Alligator mississippiensis: one gene and its partner. The protein of the gene in region 1 interacts with the protein of each later gene in a biochemical or structural test. Links are inferred from orthologs where the notes say so. Each region holds a gene or a part of one and is shown in the gene's direction. Other genes may lie near its edges.

The links.
Region 2: the proteins of NGF (region 1) and NGFR form a complex in vitro, tested with the Homo sapiens proteins (2 studies listed by BioGRID and IntAct, with this or other methods). The link is inferred for Alligator mississippiensis from reciprocal best matches to the Homo sapiens genes NGF and NGFR.

The regions. Positions count from the first base shown.
Region 1 is NC_081837.1:45,830,542-45,839,590, reverse strand, and holds the start of NGF (beta-nerve growth factor), read left to right. Parts: upstream 1-5,296; 5' UTR 5,297-5,376; intron 5,377-8,586; exon of another isoform or gene 8,587-8,936; intron 8,937-9,049. UniProt on the Homo sapiens protein: Nerve growth factor is important for the development and maintenance of the sympathetic and sensory nervous systems.
Region 2 is NC_081827.1:168,899,923-168,908,750, forward strand, and holds the start of NGFR (tumor necrosis factor receptor superfamily member 16), read left to right. Parts: upstream 1-4,960; 5' UTR 4,961-5,022; coding exon 5,023-5,079; intron 5,080-8,828. UniProt on the Homo sapiens protein: Low affinity receptor which can bind to NGF, BDNF, NTF3, and NTF4. Forms a heterodimeric receptor with SORCS2 that binds the precursor forms of NGF, BDNF and NTF3 with high affinity, and has much lower affinity for mature NGF and BDNF.

The DNA.
Region 1 (9,049 bases):
TTACCTTTTGGACTAAGCGGGGAACCCATTTCAGTGTCTAGTAGCTCAGCATACTGAGAGAAATGAAGGAATGTGCCCGGCATATGTTGATGGCATTTCAGACAACCTGGATGGATAAACGACCCCAAGTCATGAGGGTGTTTGACCATGGCAAAGAGAAGGGACTGGTGGAAGAGTGCGCAGTAGGGAAGGCAGCAGAGGCTCATCTGGGACAAAGGAGGAAGAGCTGGTACAAAGAACACACCTACAAAGGTGGGGGCTTTGACGACCAGTTTGCTGCCTAAGCCAGGAAAGGGAAGATTTCACCATGTGGTCCAGACAAAGTAGTACCTAAGGGCTTTCCACACATTAAAATGAGCTATAATTCATTTCTAGTGAACTTTAACTTCAACAAACTGTGATCACCAAAGCCACATCAAGCAAGAGCCTGGGCAGCATACTGATGCAGACTAGTGCTAAAGAGGAACATCCCGTTGCATCTCTGTGTAAAAACAGGCTTCACTGGAGAAAACTATCCAGCTACAGGAAAGATGTGTTCTGCACCTCGTGGGGCTCTTATGAGAGTGCAGCTCTGCACTGCCCTCCCTGTTTCTTGCAAACTTCACAGAATAGTTCAAATTTGAATGGCCCAAACAACCCACTCTGCCAGATTGCTATGACTAACACCAACTGCTAATAAAATGCTGGGACTGACCAAGTTCACCAGAGCTGCAGGCCTTTGTACGCTCCCGTGCTAACTGCAGTTCCTGGTGGCCAGTAGAGATCTGTCATGCTCATTATTCTGAGACTGGCACAACAAAGAACTGATACGGGTAAAGGCTCTGCTCCACGCTCTCACACTGCCCCGCGTCACATTTTCATTTAAGGTCACCACACTCGGACAGCTGAGAACAGCCTGCCTGTATTCATCCGAATGCCTTTTGTGCCGGATCTTGAAGACGTTTCCTTATAAAAAAGCATCAGCGAGACAAGAGCATTCCTACTGCACCCGTTAAAATCCCAGCCAGCCAAGAAAGAACAGGATCAGCATAGCTCATTTACGTAACGCACGAATATGGAAAGCTTCCGAGCATCGCTTGGTCAGAACTGCAGCACACTACAAACAAAGCAAGTATGGATTGACCTGCTGATTGACTGTCTCCTGACCGAGTTCTTTGTGCATGATTGATTTCACTGGGAGTCCATGTGGCAGAAACAGTTAAAAAATATTTACAGAAGACTGAGTTCTACAGTCAATCAGTAATGAGTTGACTTGCATGACCCATTTATTTGTAATCCATGGGTAGGATACTGGTTTTCTCTAACTGTGTCATAAACAAGGGACTATGAAGCATTGCTATACAAAATGTCTCAATGAAAGGAGACTGTCTCATATTTTGTAGCACCTGACGAAGTAGGCAGTTGCTTACAAAAGCTCATGCCTTTCTGAACAAGTTAGTTGATAAAGGTGCCACACTGCCCCGCCTTCTGCCAAACTTCAGAGTAACACACTAGCTACCTCTCAGTACATATTCTTTAAACCAGACGACCCTTCCCTCTTTGTATGTAAAATAGGGCTGGATGTAGTTGTGCGATCATCACGCATTCAATATCCTTCTACCCTTCCAGTCAACATCTATTTGGCCAAACGTTCTCAGTGTCTTCACTCTGCGAAGCGTGTGCAAGTTAAAAATGTAAATCCCATCACATATCACATAGGTTTAAGACTGGAGCCTTCAGACAACATTACACAAGGTAACTAGGATCATCACTACATCACAACTTTCTGGAAATTCCTTTACTTAATTGGAAGTGATAAATCTTTCAGCACAAAACATATCCAGGTAAGAGACAGGGGCCCAGATAGTCCTGGGATTAGGGGGCGGTGCATACACCTTCAGGAGGCCTTAAATGCCTCTATACTAATGCTTGTAGTATGGGGAACAAGCAGGAGGAACTTGCCCTCCTGCTAGCTAACACAAACCCAGACATAGCGGGGCTCACAGAAATGTGATGGGATCCAACGCACAACTGGGCGGTGAACATCAAGGGCTATGGGCTGTACAGAAGGGACAGGACAGGGAGGAAAGGCGGGGGCGTAGCACTCTACGTCAAAGAACAATTCACATCCTCCACGAGCAGCACAGGGTCAGAGGAGGGGCAAGCTGAAGTGCTCTGGGTTAGAATACAAGGGGGTCAGGGAGAAAGGGATTTAACAGTGGGGGTCGGTCTACTACAGACCACCCAACCGGGGGGAAGAGCTGGACCGAGAATGTTCAGGTCGGCTCGCGGAGGCAGTTAAGTCAAAGGACGTGGTCATCCTGGGTGACCTGAACTACCCGGACATCTGCTGGGAGGAGCAGTCAGCCAGGTGTGACCGCTCACGTAGGTTCCTAGCCGAGATACAGGACCTCCACCTAACCCAGGAAGTGCACAGTCCCACCAGGGGAAATGCCCTGTTAGACCTGGTCCTGGCCACGGGTGATGCCCTGGTGACCACCTGCGTGACAGGAAGACAGCAGCCCTAGACTTCAGGAGGAACAATTTCACTGAGCTAAGGAGACCAGTCGGGGAGGCACTGAGGTCCTGGAGGGGTGGGGAGTTGGGAGTCCGAGAAGAGTGGTCATCCCTGAAGGAGATGATCCTTCAAGCCCAAAGAGTGGCAATCCCAACACAGATCAAAGGGGGCAAGAGTGCTCAGAAGCTCCCATGGCTCACCAAAGGCATCCAGGAACGTCTCCAAGCTAAAAAGGAGGCGTGCACCCGGTGGAAGGGAGGACTATGCCTCCGTTGCTCGGGATTGTATTGGGGCGGGCGGGAAGGCCAAGGCGGAGATGGAACTGGGACTAGCGACCCGGATCAAGGATAACAAGAAATCCTTTTTTAAATACATAGGGGGTAAAAAGAAGGTACCAAATAACGTGGGGCCTCTGCAGGACATGCTAGAAAATCTGGTGGTCTCACCAGATGACAAAGCTAACCTATTTAACAATTTCTTTGCCTCCATTTTTCTAAGCAGAGACCAGGTCATCCCCTCCACCAGGATCCCCGACGGACCCAGGCGGGGCGCACCCAGGCCCAGGGTCAGCGAAGGCCTAGTCTGGGAACTTCTGGAAGGACTGGACGTGTTCAAATCAGCAGGTCCTGACGATCTTCACCCCAGGGTGCTGAGGGAATTAGCAGAGGTCATTGTGGGACCCCTGGTATGGCTTTACAAGCACTCGTGGTGCTCTGGTGAGGTGGCAGAGGTCTGGAAAAGGACCAATGTGGTCTCCCTTTTCAAAAAAGGGAGGAAGGGGGACCCAGGAAACTACAGGCCTGTTAGTCTTACCTCGGTCCTGGGGAAGCTCTTTGAGAACATTATCCGGGAGCACATCTGCGAGGGGCCGGCAGGGGGATCATGCTGAGGGGCAACCAACACGGGCTCATTAGAGGCAGGTCCTGTCAGACCAACCCGGTGGCCTTCTACGACCAGGTCACAAAATCCTTGGATGCAGGTGTCGCGGTGGACGTAGTCTTTCTGGACTTTAGGAAGGCCTTTGACACTGTCTCTCACCTCATTCTCGTTAAAAAATTAGGAGATTGTGGTGTCGACCCCTACACAGTCAGATGGGTCACCAATTGCCTGGAGGGCCATACCCAGAGTGGTGGTGGACGGGTCTTTTTCGACCTGGAGGGCTGTGGGCAGTGGGGTCCCCCGGGCTCAGTCCTCAGACCCGCGCTGTTCAACATCTCCATCAGCGGCTTGGACAAGGGGGTAAAAAGCTCCTCGTTCAAATTTGCTGATGACACTAAGATGTGGGGGGAAGTGGGCACGCTAGAAGGGAGGAATAGGCTGGTATCAGACCTAGACAGGTTCCAGGGGTGGGCGGATGAGAACAGGATGGGTTCAGCACTGACAAGTGCAAGGTGCTGCACCTGGGGAGGAAGAACCAGCAGCACACCTACAGGCTGGAGAACTCCCTTCTCATCAGAGCAGAGGCAGAAAAGGATCTTGGAGTCATTATTGATGCCAAAATGAACACGGGCTGACAGTGTCGGGACACGGGCAGGAAGGCCAGCCGCACCTTGTCGTGCATCCACAGATGCCTCCTTTTGAGCAGGTCCAAGGAGGTGATCCTCCCCCTCTGTGCGACACTGGTCAGGCCGCAGCTGGAGTACTGCGTCCAGTTCTGGGCGCCGCACTTCAGGAGGGATGTGGCCAGCATGGAGCGAGTCCAGAGGAGGCCATTCGCATGATCTGGGGGCAGCAGGGCAGGCCCGACGAGGAGAAGCAATGGGACCTGAAGCTGTTCAGCCTTCACAAGAGAAGGCTGAGGGGGGATCTAGTGGCTGTTTACAAACTAGTCAGGGGGACCAGCAGGCATTGGGGGGTGCCCGTTCCCCCGAGCGCTGCCAGGAGTGACAAGAAATACCGGTCACAAGCTGGCAGAGGGCAGATTCAGACTAGATGTCAGGAGGCGCGACTTCACTGCCAGGGCGGCTAGGATCTGGAACCAACGTCCAAGAGAAGTGGTGCTGGCTCCTACCCTGGGGGTCTTCAAAAGGAGGCTCAATAATCACCTCGCCAGGGTTGTTTGACCCCAGCGCTCTTTCCTGCCAGGGCAGGGGGTCGGACTTGAGGATCTGCTCGGGTCCCATCCGACCCGACCAACTATGAAGCTATGAAACTATAATGTAAATTCAAGCTGATATTGTGAAAAAACCCACTTCTGATGTTACAGAAGTAACACTCTGCTTTTTCTTTTTGATCTTCCCAAATCAAGCGCAACCCAACACAAGGCAAAGACATGTGGGATGCCAGCCGTGGTCACGCACCTACCATTTGCCTCTGTGCAGCTGCTCAGCGGATGCCAGAACAAGTCGTGCCCCGGCCCAGACTAAACCTATCAGCCCCGCCGCTCCCCGTCATGACAGACCCAGATGTGAAGCCAGTGGCGGAGCTCGTGGGGCAGCCCGACCGCAACGTGGGCGGGGAGGTTCGGGCAGTGCCGCAAGGACCGTGCCCGGCCAGCCGGGCCCTTCCCGCCCTGCCCCGGGGTGTGCAGCGCCGGCCACCGGCCCCGCGGACACGCAGGGCACTCAAGGAGCGGGGCCCGGAGCCCCGGCAAGGGAGGAGCTCCTCGTCGGTGCAGCGTGCGGGACAGGGGCCAGCGGCACAAGGAGCTCCTCAGGCAGGTGTCGGGGCGGCGGGCGCGGGCCGGGGCCGGGGCCGTGGGCGGGGCGGGAGCCGTGCCGGGGCCGGTGCGGGGCGCGGCGCTAGGACCCGGCGGCGCGGCGGCGCGCGGGGCAGGTCGCAGCCCGCGAGGCGAGCGCTGCAGGAGGCGGCGGCGGCGGCGGCGGCAGCGGCCACGGCCACGGCCACGCTCGGCGCCGCGGGACCGGCGGGAGCCGCAGGTGAGGGCGCGGGCGGCGGGACGGGACGAGACGGGACGGGGCGGGGCGGGGCGGGCGCGGGTCCGTGCGGAGCCTCCCGGGCGAGCCCCGCGTGCCGGCCAGCGGCGCCCCCGCCTCCCCGCCCGCAGGGCTCCGCTCCGGCTCCGGCCGCATCCGCCCGCGGGCAGCGCCGCCGTTGCGCGCCCGCAGCTGGAGCCGGAGCCCCCGGCGCGGCGCGGCGCGGCGCGGCGGGGAGGACGCCCGCACGTGCCCGGCCAGGCTCGGTGCTGCGGCGGGGCGCCGTGCGCGGGGTACCGGGGCGGGCAAGGTGAAGCGTGTCAGGAGACAGCTGGCACTGCCCGCCGCTGCCAGGGAGGGCTCCCGCACTCGTGCCGCCGCGGGAGAGGGCCACGCTCGCACGGGCCGGGCCGGGCCGGGCCGGGCGGACGTGGCGCGTGCGGGGTCGGGACTGACCCGCGCCAGCGAGAGCGGTCTGTCCCCGCGCCAGGAGGACCCCGCTCAGCCCACCCAAGCCAGAGCCGCGCCGCGCCGCGCCGCGCGTGTCAGCCCGGCTGCAGCAAGGGGGACCTCTGCTGGCAAGTGCCCCCGTCCCGACAGGAGCGGCCGTGCTCGAAGCAGGGTGTAAAGTACCCCGTCCTGCTCCACACGCACACGGGACCTGCCCCCCACCCTCCCCGCAGAGCCCCCGGCGCTGGGGCGTGCCAGGGCATCCGCCGAGCGCACCCGCACCTGTTGCAGGCGGAGAGCACAGGGCGCTTTGTGCAGGGGCGGCGGAGGGTCCGCGATTAAACTCCCTCGGCAGGATTTAGGCCGTTCCTGCCTTCGCTCAGAACTCGTAATACCCATTAGCACCAGATGTTCGCTCGCATGGAGCGACTGTGCCCGCTGACGCAGGCAGCTGAGCGAGTGCAGATGACCTCCTTTACATTGGGAGCCTGCGGAGGGGAATCCCACCCCCCGCCAGGTCTCGCCTAGCATTGCCCCCAGGACCCGGCAGCGCGGGAAGGTCGATGGCTTGTCAGCGTCTGCACTGAAGGCAGCCGCCAAGTCATTGAGAGTGACATCGTGCAAGCTGCATGGGGTTTCTGTCAAGACTAATGGACAAGGAAGTGAAGGTTTACCTCACACTGAGGCCCAAGTCAGTGGAGTAGGTGTTAGTGTGTGTTTGTTTCTTCTCTGTAGGAAGAGCTTAATGTCTCAATGCAAAAAAACTGTAGTTGAATCAGGAGCAGATGGGTCTTGCTGCAGTCCCTCAGTCAGAATCCTAACAGAAATATGTAACTTGTCAGCCCGTGGTGGTCGTAACCGAGTTCAGTCGAGTCAACTACTCCTGCACGACATGCTGGCACAACTGCGCGTGCACACACACATGCAGAGCTGGGTTTAGAGTCAAAAAGGCAAAAGAGCTCACTGTCAGACTGGGAAGATGAGGCAACGTATCCTGCTCAGCCAGCAACAAACCAGTAAGGAGATAAACAGTAGCAAGGAATTATCATGTAAATCCCTTGCTGCTCTTTATCAGTAGCAGGGAACATGTGTAAATTAACACCATCCTTGTCCCGGTCCTGCCTCACACCTGGAACCTGCACACTTGAAATAAGTTCCCAAAAAGGCTTGTGTGGGGCAGGCGGGGTGGAGAGCTCTTCACTACGAGGAGAATATTCTGAAGAGATGTAACAGGGGCAGGAACTGCTGAATGACATGCAAGGGAAGTGAATGTTTTGAGTAACTCCTCCCCACAATACCCGCAAAGGAAACCACAAGAAAAATTAAGAAACAGATAATCTGTTAAAAGATAAATACTCTTTTTCCTCCTCACACCCTAGACAGATACTTCAGTTATATTCCAGAGAGGACTAGAGGTCGATTTAAATAGCAACACCATCTGCAGTTACACTAGTTAGAGGAAAAGGCAGCTGAAAAGTCTGCAGATATCAATGGTGTAGTTTCTACAGCAATCGTGGTGTGGCCTGTCTCAGTGCAAGTAGCATTTTATATTGCTGTTACATTCCATGGTTTATATTACAAGGTATTTGCAAATATGGCCAAGTTACAATTGCAAATTAGGATACACTGCAGAGATACTTCCACAGTGCATGGGTCCCACAGCATGCCTGCGTGGCAGCATGCTCTCATGTGACACCTTTCACTGCCTAAAGCCATAGTCGAAGGCCAAGTGCAAGAAGTGGGAACTCCCCGACCAGCACTCTGCTGGCCACCCACCCCTCTTTGGGCATGACTGGTTTGGAAATAATCCAGTTGGTAATTAGGAAGGAAGCTGCCCTTGGAGGGCCTCCGTGTCTGAGGGCCAAAATACACACTCCAACCATCCCTACACATGTCCCAAGCCTTGCAGATTTTGCTCGCAGCTGTGCTAAGCTCGGGCCTGAGGCCAGGCCCAACTCGTCACAGTATTGAGCCTCTTTCTGCCCTGGTAAGGGCCACACTCATACCTCCCCCCTCTCACACTCCTGCTCTCACCCCGTCTCTTTCATCCCACCCTTCCTGGGCCTCACTCCTACTGCCCCTTCTCTCCTGGGGACCACATGCACCTTGCCCTCACCCCGAGGGTCCTCAGGCTTGCTGCTTTTCACTCCCTGGCCAACAAGTGCACAGCCTTTTGGGCATCTCTCTCTGCCCTCATCAGCACAAGCTCTGGGCTGCTCACTAAATGCTGTGCTGACTCTGCCCCGGTCTCCTCCCTGGGCAACTCCCCCAGCTGCTCTCCAGCAAGGGGCTAATGGCTCACCCCCTTCTCCTTGCAGCTCCTCCTCTGTTGCCCTCTAATTGGGCTTGGGCACCTGAGGGCTTCCCTGGGCCTAACCCAGGCCCCTGTGCTAGCAGGGCCTTCACCCAAGCTCCTGCCCACAGGGCCTGAACTCATGCCCCTCACTCACAGGGCTTCACCCCTCCCACTCTCTACTCTGGGGTCAAACACCCAGGAGGCTCAGATGCTGTTTGTCGGCATGCCTGGCCCAGAGTTCGCCCCTTCTCACCAGGGCCTCGACTGCTCATCTTACGGGGTCTTCCACCCCTTCGGGCTCAGGCGCGTCTCAAAGCTTACCTGGCCTTCACCACACCCCTTCAGGGTCGTGCACCCCATTGGGCTCAGATGTCCCCTATGGACTTCCCCGGCCCCACTACTCCCTCTCCAATGTTACCACATAGCCTAGTGGGTGGGAGGGGGAGGGCTTAGGCACCCGGACCTACCTTTCACCGGGAAGGTCCTCAAACCTGGCATTTCAATGGCCCTGCCCCACCAGAGGCCGGACCACCAGCTCTCCCGGCCCCAGCAGGGTGCAGCTTTAGGCCATGCCCAGGACCACTGGGGCCTCCTCCTTCCCCACCCATATCTCTACGCTGGTCTTGGAGCAGCAGTTCTTCCCGGCAATGTTACTTCCACGGTGCCTGGCAGCAAGTGCTGCCTCCCGCCCTGGGACTTAAAATGGCCACTCGTTAGGGCTGGGCCGCACCTGCCTGCTGCCTGACCCAGGTCTTAAAGTGGCAGAGCCCTCACACTGCTCTGACACCCCACCCCCCTCCAGTGTTTATCGGGAAGGCTTTTCCCTGCTGCTCCCAAACACAAGCTCCCCCAAAGCCTGTGATAGCCCCGAAGTGGCGAGCACCCCACTGGTGCTGCGCCACACCGCAGAAAGTGTGGGCTCGTGACTTC
Region 2 (8,828 bases), on another chromosome or scaffold:
AGGTAGATTTGACCCATGTGGATATATCCAAGGTCGTGCATCGCTACCAGAAGTCAAGGCAATATTTTAATAAGGGTCACTCTCTTCCTTAAGGTTCCTTTTTCTTATTCAAACATTTACAATGAACTCCTAGACAGGGCCAGATCTTCAACTCAGCTGTCTCAGACCCAAAACTTACTGTCTCTCAGTACTTTCCAGGATTGGAGGGTGAAGGAGTGAAGATACAGGACCCTCTTCCTTCTCTCTCCCCTTTCAGTTTCACTTTAGCTTGGAATTGCAAAGACTGTTTTTATTCTGATGCCTTCCTGAGCATCAGGGAGCACTCCCCCTTCCCTGCATACTTTGCCTGCCCCTCCGTTCTGCAGTCAACTCACTTAGAGAGCTCCTTCTTTCCCTTTCCCCCTTGGGGTTAGAGACCATTTCAGGAGAGGACAGGAACACATACTGTTTGCTGGGTAATTTTTAAGCTGCCATCCATTATTAAAGCCAGAATAAAGCCCATTAATTGTTTGATGAGCACCACAGAGAGCATTCAGATCATGTCATGCTCCAATGAGTAGCTCTAGACCCATGTCCCCTCCCTACCCCCACTCAGGGGCCAAAGAGTGTTGCTGGGATGAAAAAAAAGGAGTGACATTTTCAACTCTTTCCTCTCACAAGTGCACAATTTAGCTCATCAGAGGTCTCAGGGTCAAGGACAGGGAAGGAGGCAAGACAGAATTTTCTTTTGAGTCAATGAGCCCACTAAGGCTGAAGGGAACAGTGTCCACTCAGTAAGGGATATCAGAGCCCAGGTCTGGGGAAAAAAATGGGAGCTGGCTACCAAATGAAGCTAGCAAATATAGTTTATTTCCTGTTTATGTGCAATGGTCCCACTTTAGTTCAGTGCCCCTTTGTTCAAGGTGTTATATATAACCCTGTAGGAACAGACAGTCTTTATTCCAGAGAGTTTACAGTCAGAATAGATTGATGGTTCTCAACATTTTTAGACTCAAGGCACCCCTCATTAGACTCAAGGCCCCTGTGACAGGCCCATGCCCACTGAACAGGGGCATGCCCTGCCACCTGGCCTCACACCTGGATCTAACCACCTGCCATGACTTCTTGTTCCTAAAGTAACTTTGGAGGTGGGGCTCAGTGCTTCCTTTGATGTCCAGGGGCTTCTCCTCCCCTACACCCCACCCCTTTCCACTCGGGTGTTCCAGTGGTTTCTGGCAGTGCCCTGGCACAACCACTATTTCCTTCTTCAACCATTGAAAAAGATGCCACAGGGTACTCGCTGCTAGTCATTTGACTTGTGAAAATAACAACACAAAAGCAGAAACTTAACCAAAAAGAGCCCTGCTTGGGTGGTGGGCAGGGCAACATTGCCCCCATGCTGAGCAGGTCACTCCTGAGTGCGATGGGGTAGGTGCTCACTGCACTCCCCCCTTGGGACAGAATAGCCTTCCCAGCAAGCTGGCTTTCTACTGGGGTTCTTCCCCATTTGGCAACCAGGCCAGATATTGCCACTGTCCCGTGGCATCCCATGTGGCTATCATATGGGATCTGGTGTCCCACCAGTCACCAGTTGGCACACTTTGAGTGTGCTGTTGCTCCAGTGGGGTGTGTGGATCTCAGACTCCCTGTTGGGGTCCACCCTAGTCCAGTGCCTGCAGAGCCCAGTGGGCTGCCCTCTCCCACCCCCACCTGACCTGTGTGTTCCCAGGCAGTTCTCTGGTGATGGTAGTAAACGGACCTGCCACCCATCATTTAGCCAATTCACTCTCTTCCTGACCTCCCTGTTAGAGTCAACTTTGCAACATGTCTCCAGGCAGATCCTTTCATTTCAATCTCCTCTGCATTATCACAAGATAAGCTCTGTTTATTGCCTGTACTGCCAGCTTTGGCAGTCTATTCTTTGAATGGGCACTGATCCCATGTTCCAAGGACCCAGTCTGGCAAACAGATACTGTACTGAGAACTCTGCTTCCCATCTTTCACCTGGGACAGGCGACTGGGCCAGATGTGCTCAGCCCATCATTGGTGGAGTCGGGCAGGCTGGCATCTCTTTTGGTTCCCCAGACTCTGGGGGTGAGGGAGCGTTCTGCTGTTCACCTTGGCCTTTTAGACTCAGGGAGCACAGCCAGCTTCCAGCTGGCCGTCGGGGATACACCAGAGTCCTTCCCAGTCACTTGCTCTGCAGTGTGCAACTGCAGTGCTCTCCTTGGTGCACGGCTAACAGGAGAAGTGAAGGTGTGCCTTGCTGTCTCTTCTGGCAGCAAGGCAAGCATCCGGCTCCCTTCCTGGTGCCTGGATGTGTCACCCCTGGCTCTCTGACTACTGGGCCCATTTTGAGCCTGCAGCCATCAGGTTCTGGGCCAACCAGCAGTTTCAGCTCTGGCCACGTCGTGCAGGCCGTTTTGATTGTGGCCCAGCCACCTGGGCTGCAGCATGGAGGTAAGCCAGGTGGGAGTGGGGGCACAGGACTGTCACAGCCCCCCTCCATAATTTTTGTGAATTGAGCAGCACCCCATTTCAAAAATTAACTTATTAATTACAGTGCAGAGGGATCAGGCAGTGGGTGTGGGTAACAGCTAGGCGGTGACTGAGCCTGAGTCTGCACTTATCTGCTTATCTCCTCACATCTCAAGGTACCCTTCAAAGGATCTTGCAGCACCCTTGTGTGCCCTGGTGCCCTAGCTGAGAATCACTGAAATACACAAAGGGACTGTTATTCCTGTGTAGATGGGGGAAATCAGGTTGATTGAGAGGGTCTTACTTGCCTAAAAGGCAAGAAGAGATTTAAGGATGTATTGTCTGCCAAGCTATTCTCTGCGGGTCCCCTGCCTTGTTGCTCTTTGGAAATACCCACAGCATTAATTTTATGAAATAGGAGGTGGCTCTCTTTTCAGACTCTGCTCCTGCTTGACCACACCAGAGGATGAAGCCACCGTGGATGCATGGACCAAAGAATCATTGAAGGGAGCCTGTGCTAGCACACAATTGGCAGGGGTAGATAACCCCTGGCATGGGTGCCAGAATGTGACATGTGAAGGCATTTTGCTTGGCACACATGCCTTGGGGTGGACGGTGAGGATGGGGCCAAGGCTGCACTGCCACAACTAGGATCAAGCCCTTTGCAGCTCCCCTGCCATCCACCCCTGGCATACCAACATTTTACAAGTTGAGGTCATGGGTGATTTTGGCACCCTGCACAAAAACTTTGCTGACCCCTGGTAGAGAGTACAATCCAGCTTTTGCAACTGAGCCAGAAAAAGAACCCTGGTCTCCTGAGGGCCAGGCAGTGTTGTAGCCCTGATATGGTCCTTCCTAACTTGGACTGAAGAACAAGGGGGAGCTAGCTGGCTGCAATGACCCAGGGATAGCTTATACACAGAGGACTCAGGGTTCCCTTCCAGCCTTATGTTCTATCCCCTACTGATGGCACCACCATTCTCTGACAGCGACCCCAAACACCAGGGTGACTGTTTAATTAGTACAGTATTAACCACGGTAATCCCTCCAGAGTATTGCTAAGGTGAGACAAGGGACTGCATTGATTGCCTCCTCAGTGCAGTCACTTTCCCCAAAGCTGATGGTGTAGGTACCTCAGTGCCAGCATTCCTGTCAATGCCAGGCTTTTCTCAGCCTTGTTGGATCCTCCAGGGCCAGAGAACCTGGGCAACAGCCCTCCCCGAACCCCCTTTTGGCTGCTAATACAAGGGGTATGGCTTGAGGGAAAGGGAGTGTGACAGAGGCATCCTTATGCTCTTACCATCACTGGCTTGGGACCATCCATAGTCTTCAAGATGTTCTGGGAAACCAGACCCACACACAGCATCCTGGACTAAAGATGTGGTGTATGCAAAAGACACCTCCTCACTCCTGACTGTGTTGTGCATTTCTCATCTGCAGCTGGGGGATAGATCCTCTAGCATATTTGAGGCCATTCTTGTAGGATACCATGGGATCTTTTAACAAAGAGACTCTGGAGTGTTAGGAGGTCATTAGTGCAGCATGCTGTAGCACTTCTCGTACAAGGGCAGTCTGCAATGCTCATTGCCATCTGGACATCTCAGCAGCAAACCCTGCTTTGGAAAAGATCCCAGCTGGGGAGGGGGAGCTGGAAGGGGAATTTCCTCTGCATCTGTTACCCAGTCTTGAGCTCAGTTGCACAACCACATGCAAGTTTCTCCACTTGAGGGAGGCTTCTTGGTGGTTCTGTACTGCAAGTAAAAAAATCAATAAAAGACCAGGCAGACAGAAAGATGGCAATAGATGAAAGGGGTGTATGAGGCTAGAGAGAGGTGTGTGTATGGTAGGAGACAGACAAAGAGAGACAGAAGGGCTGTATGAGGATACAGAGAGGGGGTGTATGGGGGTAAATGAGCATAAAAAGAGAGGGTGTATGGGGTAGATAGAAGGGATGTATGGTGATAGAGAGAGGGGTCTATGGTGGTAGATAGAGGGGGTGTATGAGGATAGAGAGGGGGTTATGGTGATAGGCACACAGACAGATAGAAGGGGTGGAGGTGTAAGGTGGTAGAAGGGGTGGATGAGGATAGAGTGAGGGTTATGGTGAAAGAAAGAAAGAAAGAAAGAAAGAAAGAAAGAAAGAAAGAAAGAAAGAAAGAAAGAAAGAAAGAAAGAGGATAGAAGGGGTGTATGGCAACAGACAGATGGACAGATAGAAGGGATGTATGAGAGTGGAGAGGGGGTGTGGGGGTCGATAAACAGAAGGGGTGTACGAGGCTAGGCAGGGGTGCACGGCTGTAGGTTGAGGGACAGGCAGAGAGACGGGCTGGATGAGGACAGAGCGGGTGTGTGGGGCACCCAGGCCGGGCCAGGAGGGCGCGCGGGGCAGGCAGCGCGGGGTGCGGGCCGGAGGGAGGCGGGAGGCGGCGCGGGCGGGGCGGGGCGGGGCGGGGCGGGGCGGGGGGACGAGGCAGCGCTGCCATAAGACGGGCCGAGCCGGCGCGCAGGTGCTGCTCTGTCGTAGCCGCCGTCGGGGCAGGAGGAGTCCGCGCTGCCGCCCGCACCATGGACAAGGCGCCGCCGCCAGCGCTGCTGCTGCTGCTGCTGCTGCTGGGGGCAGGGGTGAGTGGCCCCGGCTCGGGGCAGCTCCCAGCCCCCGGGAGCCCATGCCTGGGGGGCGACTGCTGGGCAGGGGGAGCCGGGGGCAGGACGGGGCTGGGCACAGAGGGCAGCTCCCCCCACCTCCATTCCCAGGGACTCCGCGGGTGTGAGGCTGCAGCCTGTAGTGGCCCCTCTCAGGAGAGGCCACCCCATCCCGGGAGAGTGGCAGCCTGAAGGCCCCTCTCTGAAGACTGCTGGGTACAGCTACCCCACACCCTTGAGCCGCGGGCAGAGCCCAGCCCCCGGTGACTTTCACCCACAGGAGCTGGGCTCCCGCCGCCTCGGGGAGCAGGGGCTGAGCATGGGCCAGCCACCCGGCTGAGGGGAGCTGCCTCGCCCTTTCTCGGGGACCCCAGCATGCCACCGTTCCCACATGCGCTCCCCCTCAGTCTCCGCCCCACCCCGTTCCCAGGGACTGTGCTGTGTGGGTCGGGACATCTAGTAGCTCAGAGAAATAGCCCTTGGGTACTAAAGCACCTCCCTCTGCTCCTGGCGGTTCTCGGGGCACAGGCAGTTAAAGCCCAGGGACAAACGAAAGTCCGCGCATCGGGCACTGTACAGAGGCCAATGAAATATTAAAGAGCTGGGGAGTGCGGCAAGAGTGGAGGGAAAGGCTGCAGGACAGCGGTGTGTTGTGTGGACACGGGGCTGCAGGACTTGCCAGAGATTGTCAGGCTCACGTAGGCAATAGGGAATATCCTGAGCTCTCAGAACGAGGGACAAGGAGGGGTGGAAGCAAGATTAACCATAGTGCTTCGGGGCCGAGGGCAAGCTCTATTAGGCACCAGGACAAGATGGATGTGAGGGGCATGTCCTCCCCTGCCTACTACTCTGCATCTCCCACATTTCTCTCTGAAGTATTTGGTGCCAGCCACTGTCAGCGATGGGATACCCAACTAGCTGGACCATGGGTCTGATCCAGGCTCTCTGTCCCTATGTGCCATACAGTCCAGCATTTGCTTTCTGACAAAGCAAGCGCTAGCCCCACTTTAGGGCAAGGGGCAGAAACCTGAGTGCCCTATCTCTTGCCATATCATTTATTTAAAGCAATGCAGCCCTGGCAAAAATCCAGCCACTCCCATGGCCTGATCCACAGATCAGATGCAGCCCCAATATCCCTTCTCTGCTGAACCCCAATTCAGAGGCACCACCTCTGGGGTTCAGAGGAGAGTTCCTTTGTATCTTCTGGCGGAGCCAGCCATATAGGAAATGGCAAAGGTATCATGGTGTTAGGACACCTGTCTCACCTGGAAGGTGGACTGGGCCCTTCTAACTCCATTCACAAAGACCACTAAGCATATGGTGATAATCAAGCTGCGTCTGTGCCCTGAGAGGCTCAGTGTCTTATTACCACCAACTCCATAACTGACAAATACCCAAGTAGTGCAGAGTTCCTTTGCTCTTTGGCTTGTCCAGGTGAGTATCCCACTGACAGGATCACATGAATACTTGTCTTGCACTACAACTGGGGTGGGATTGAACCTAAGGTAGGTGTAACCACTCCAGCTTTAATCAGTAGCAGGGAAGATGTAACCAGCAGAGTTTAGCCCAGGCATACAAGCTTCCCTGGGGACCCAGGTTGCTAGCCCATGCTTAGGTTTGTGCTACCACATTCTTTCACTGCTATTGTTACCAGTGCTAGCCGGAGTGGAGCAGACGTGGATTTCTTCCTCTGCTACAGTCACACCTTTGATCACAGTGTAGACAGACCCCAGAAGAGCTAGAATGACTTCCTTTTTGCTGCTTTGACTTGTGATTCCCCCTAGGCTGCAGAATTCTTCACACATTAGTTTCAAGCTTCCCAAAGTCTGGGGGTTGTTCTGAGCCAGCATTTTGGTTCTTCCCATCACAGACAGCCAAGACAGCCAGATCCAGTTTATCAGGCTTGGGGGCAGTGAACTTTAAGATGGGCCCATCTCCAGCTATAACTCTACATCCAACAGGATGAAATATTTTTCATGCTGGAGACTTAAAGAGACTTGCTGCCAGGTTTCATGTATAAATCTCTCCCCAAAGCGTGGAGCTTTGACCCCGCATTCTAAATCTTCATCCGCCAAAAAAAAATGAAATAAAATAGAATCTACCACTGCAATGTAAAAAGCAATTAAAAGCTTGCAATGGTGTCTCTCTTCCCTCTTTGTTCCAGCTGTCAAAATGCTTTATGAGGTTAATACCTGTGGCTTTGTCAACAGGAGTTGTGTTAATAACATGCACATTTTACTGGACTAATGCAGACCATGTGCCCGCTTATAAGTGTGTTAATCTTTATGGGCGTTTCAGCTCAAGACCCCAGCATGGGTAGGGAAAAGCAGGCAGAAAGGGAGGGTGGTTCTAGCACCTGGGAATGGAAGTTACATTTTCCACACCATTTAGTAGCATGGAGGGGAGGGATTGTCAGGGGTCAGAGGCCTCCGATCACTTCTCCTTACCTTTCTGAGCAAGAATTACAACAGGGGAAGGGGACTACTGCTGGCTGTACAGGAACTCAGAGCTAAAAGAGTTCTTGGTAGGAATTGTAGCTACCTTAATTAAGACTGGTTGTTTCTCACCACTGCTCCTCTCCCAACAGGGGGCACTGTAGGGAGCCCTGGTTGTCCACAGCTCATAGCGATTCCAATTCCATGCTCTGGTGCTAGGAACAGCAGAATAGGATGTAGGAAGAGTGCTGGATCTTGGTAACTTGCTCTCTTCCATCCCAGGCTCTCTGAGGCATATTGCTTGTGAGTAGCTCACAGGTCCTTCAGTCCCAGCCTCCCTGAGAAGAAGCTTCTGCAAGGATAGTGTGGGAGAGCTGGCTGAGAGAGAGAGAACACAGCTGCTTGGGTCCTCTTTTTCCCCAGAATTGTTAATAGTAAGAAATGTATCATGCTGGCCACAGGCAGCTGGCAGCTACTGTGTTCCCAGCCTCTAGCAACAGGAGTTGCTCTAGATCAGTGCTTCTCAACCAGGGTTCTGCAAGATCCTTGTAAGGATGGTATGCGGTGCCATGCAATATTAGCACTATTAGATGTGCCAACACTTATACAATTCACAAGATAAACCCAGAGATTTCAAATAGGAACCCATAGCGTCAAACCCTTCTGCTTTACTGTGGGCTTTCCAAGTTCTTTGCATCAGAATAATTTCTCTATTCATAGATTCATAGATGTTAGGGGCTGGAAGGGACTTTATAAGATCAAGTCCAGCCCATCTGCACTTGGGCAGGAAGTTGAAAAAGAAGCAAAAGCTAAGAGCTGGCATTTTCTGAGGGCTGCCTTTAGTCTAAGGAGGTTGAGAACCAATGCTTTGTTCCAGCAGAAGGCACTATAAGGAGTGATATGGGAGGACCAGCTTGGCAGAGCTCCCAGCTACTCCAGGCCCATCCTTTGGGAGCAGGGGATGCCCCATCACCTTAAAACAGGAGCCATTAGGAGTTTACAACTTCTGCTTGAAGAACCAGAGACCCATTTTAGCATGTTGGAGTATGAAACTGCTTTTTATGCTCACCAGTGTGATGCGTAGTTTCCAGAGGGACCCACTAGTTATTGTGCAGCTGAAGCACTGAATCCGGCAGGATGCTACGGTTGCAATTCAGCACCAGTGATGAGAGCACATGCTTTCAAGCACAGAGTAATTGGAGCACTTTGTCATTCAAATGCCTGTAATTGGCGCTTCATTGTCTAATGCCAGTATGTATAATATACAGAGAATAGAGTGGATAAAGCAGACAT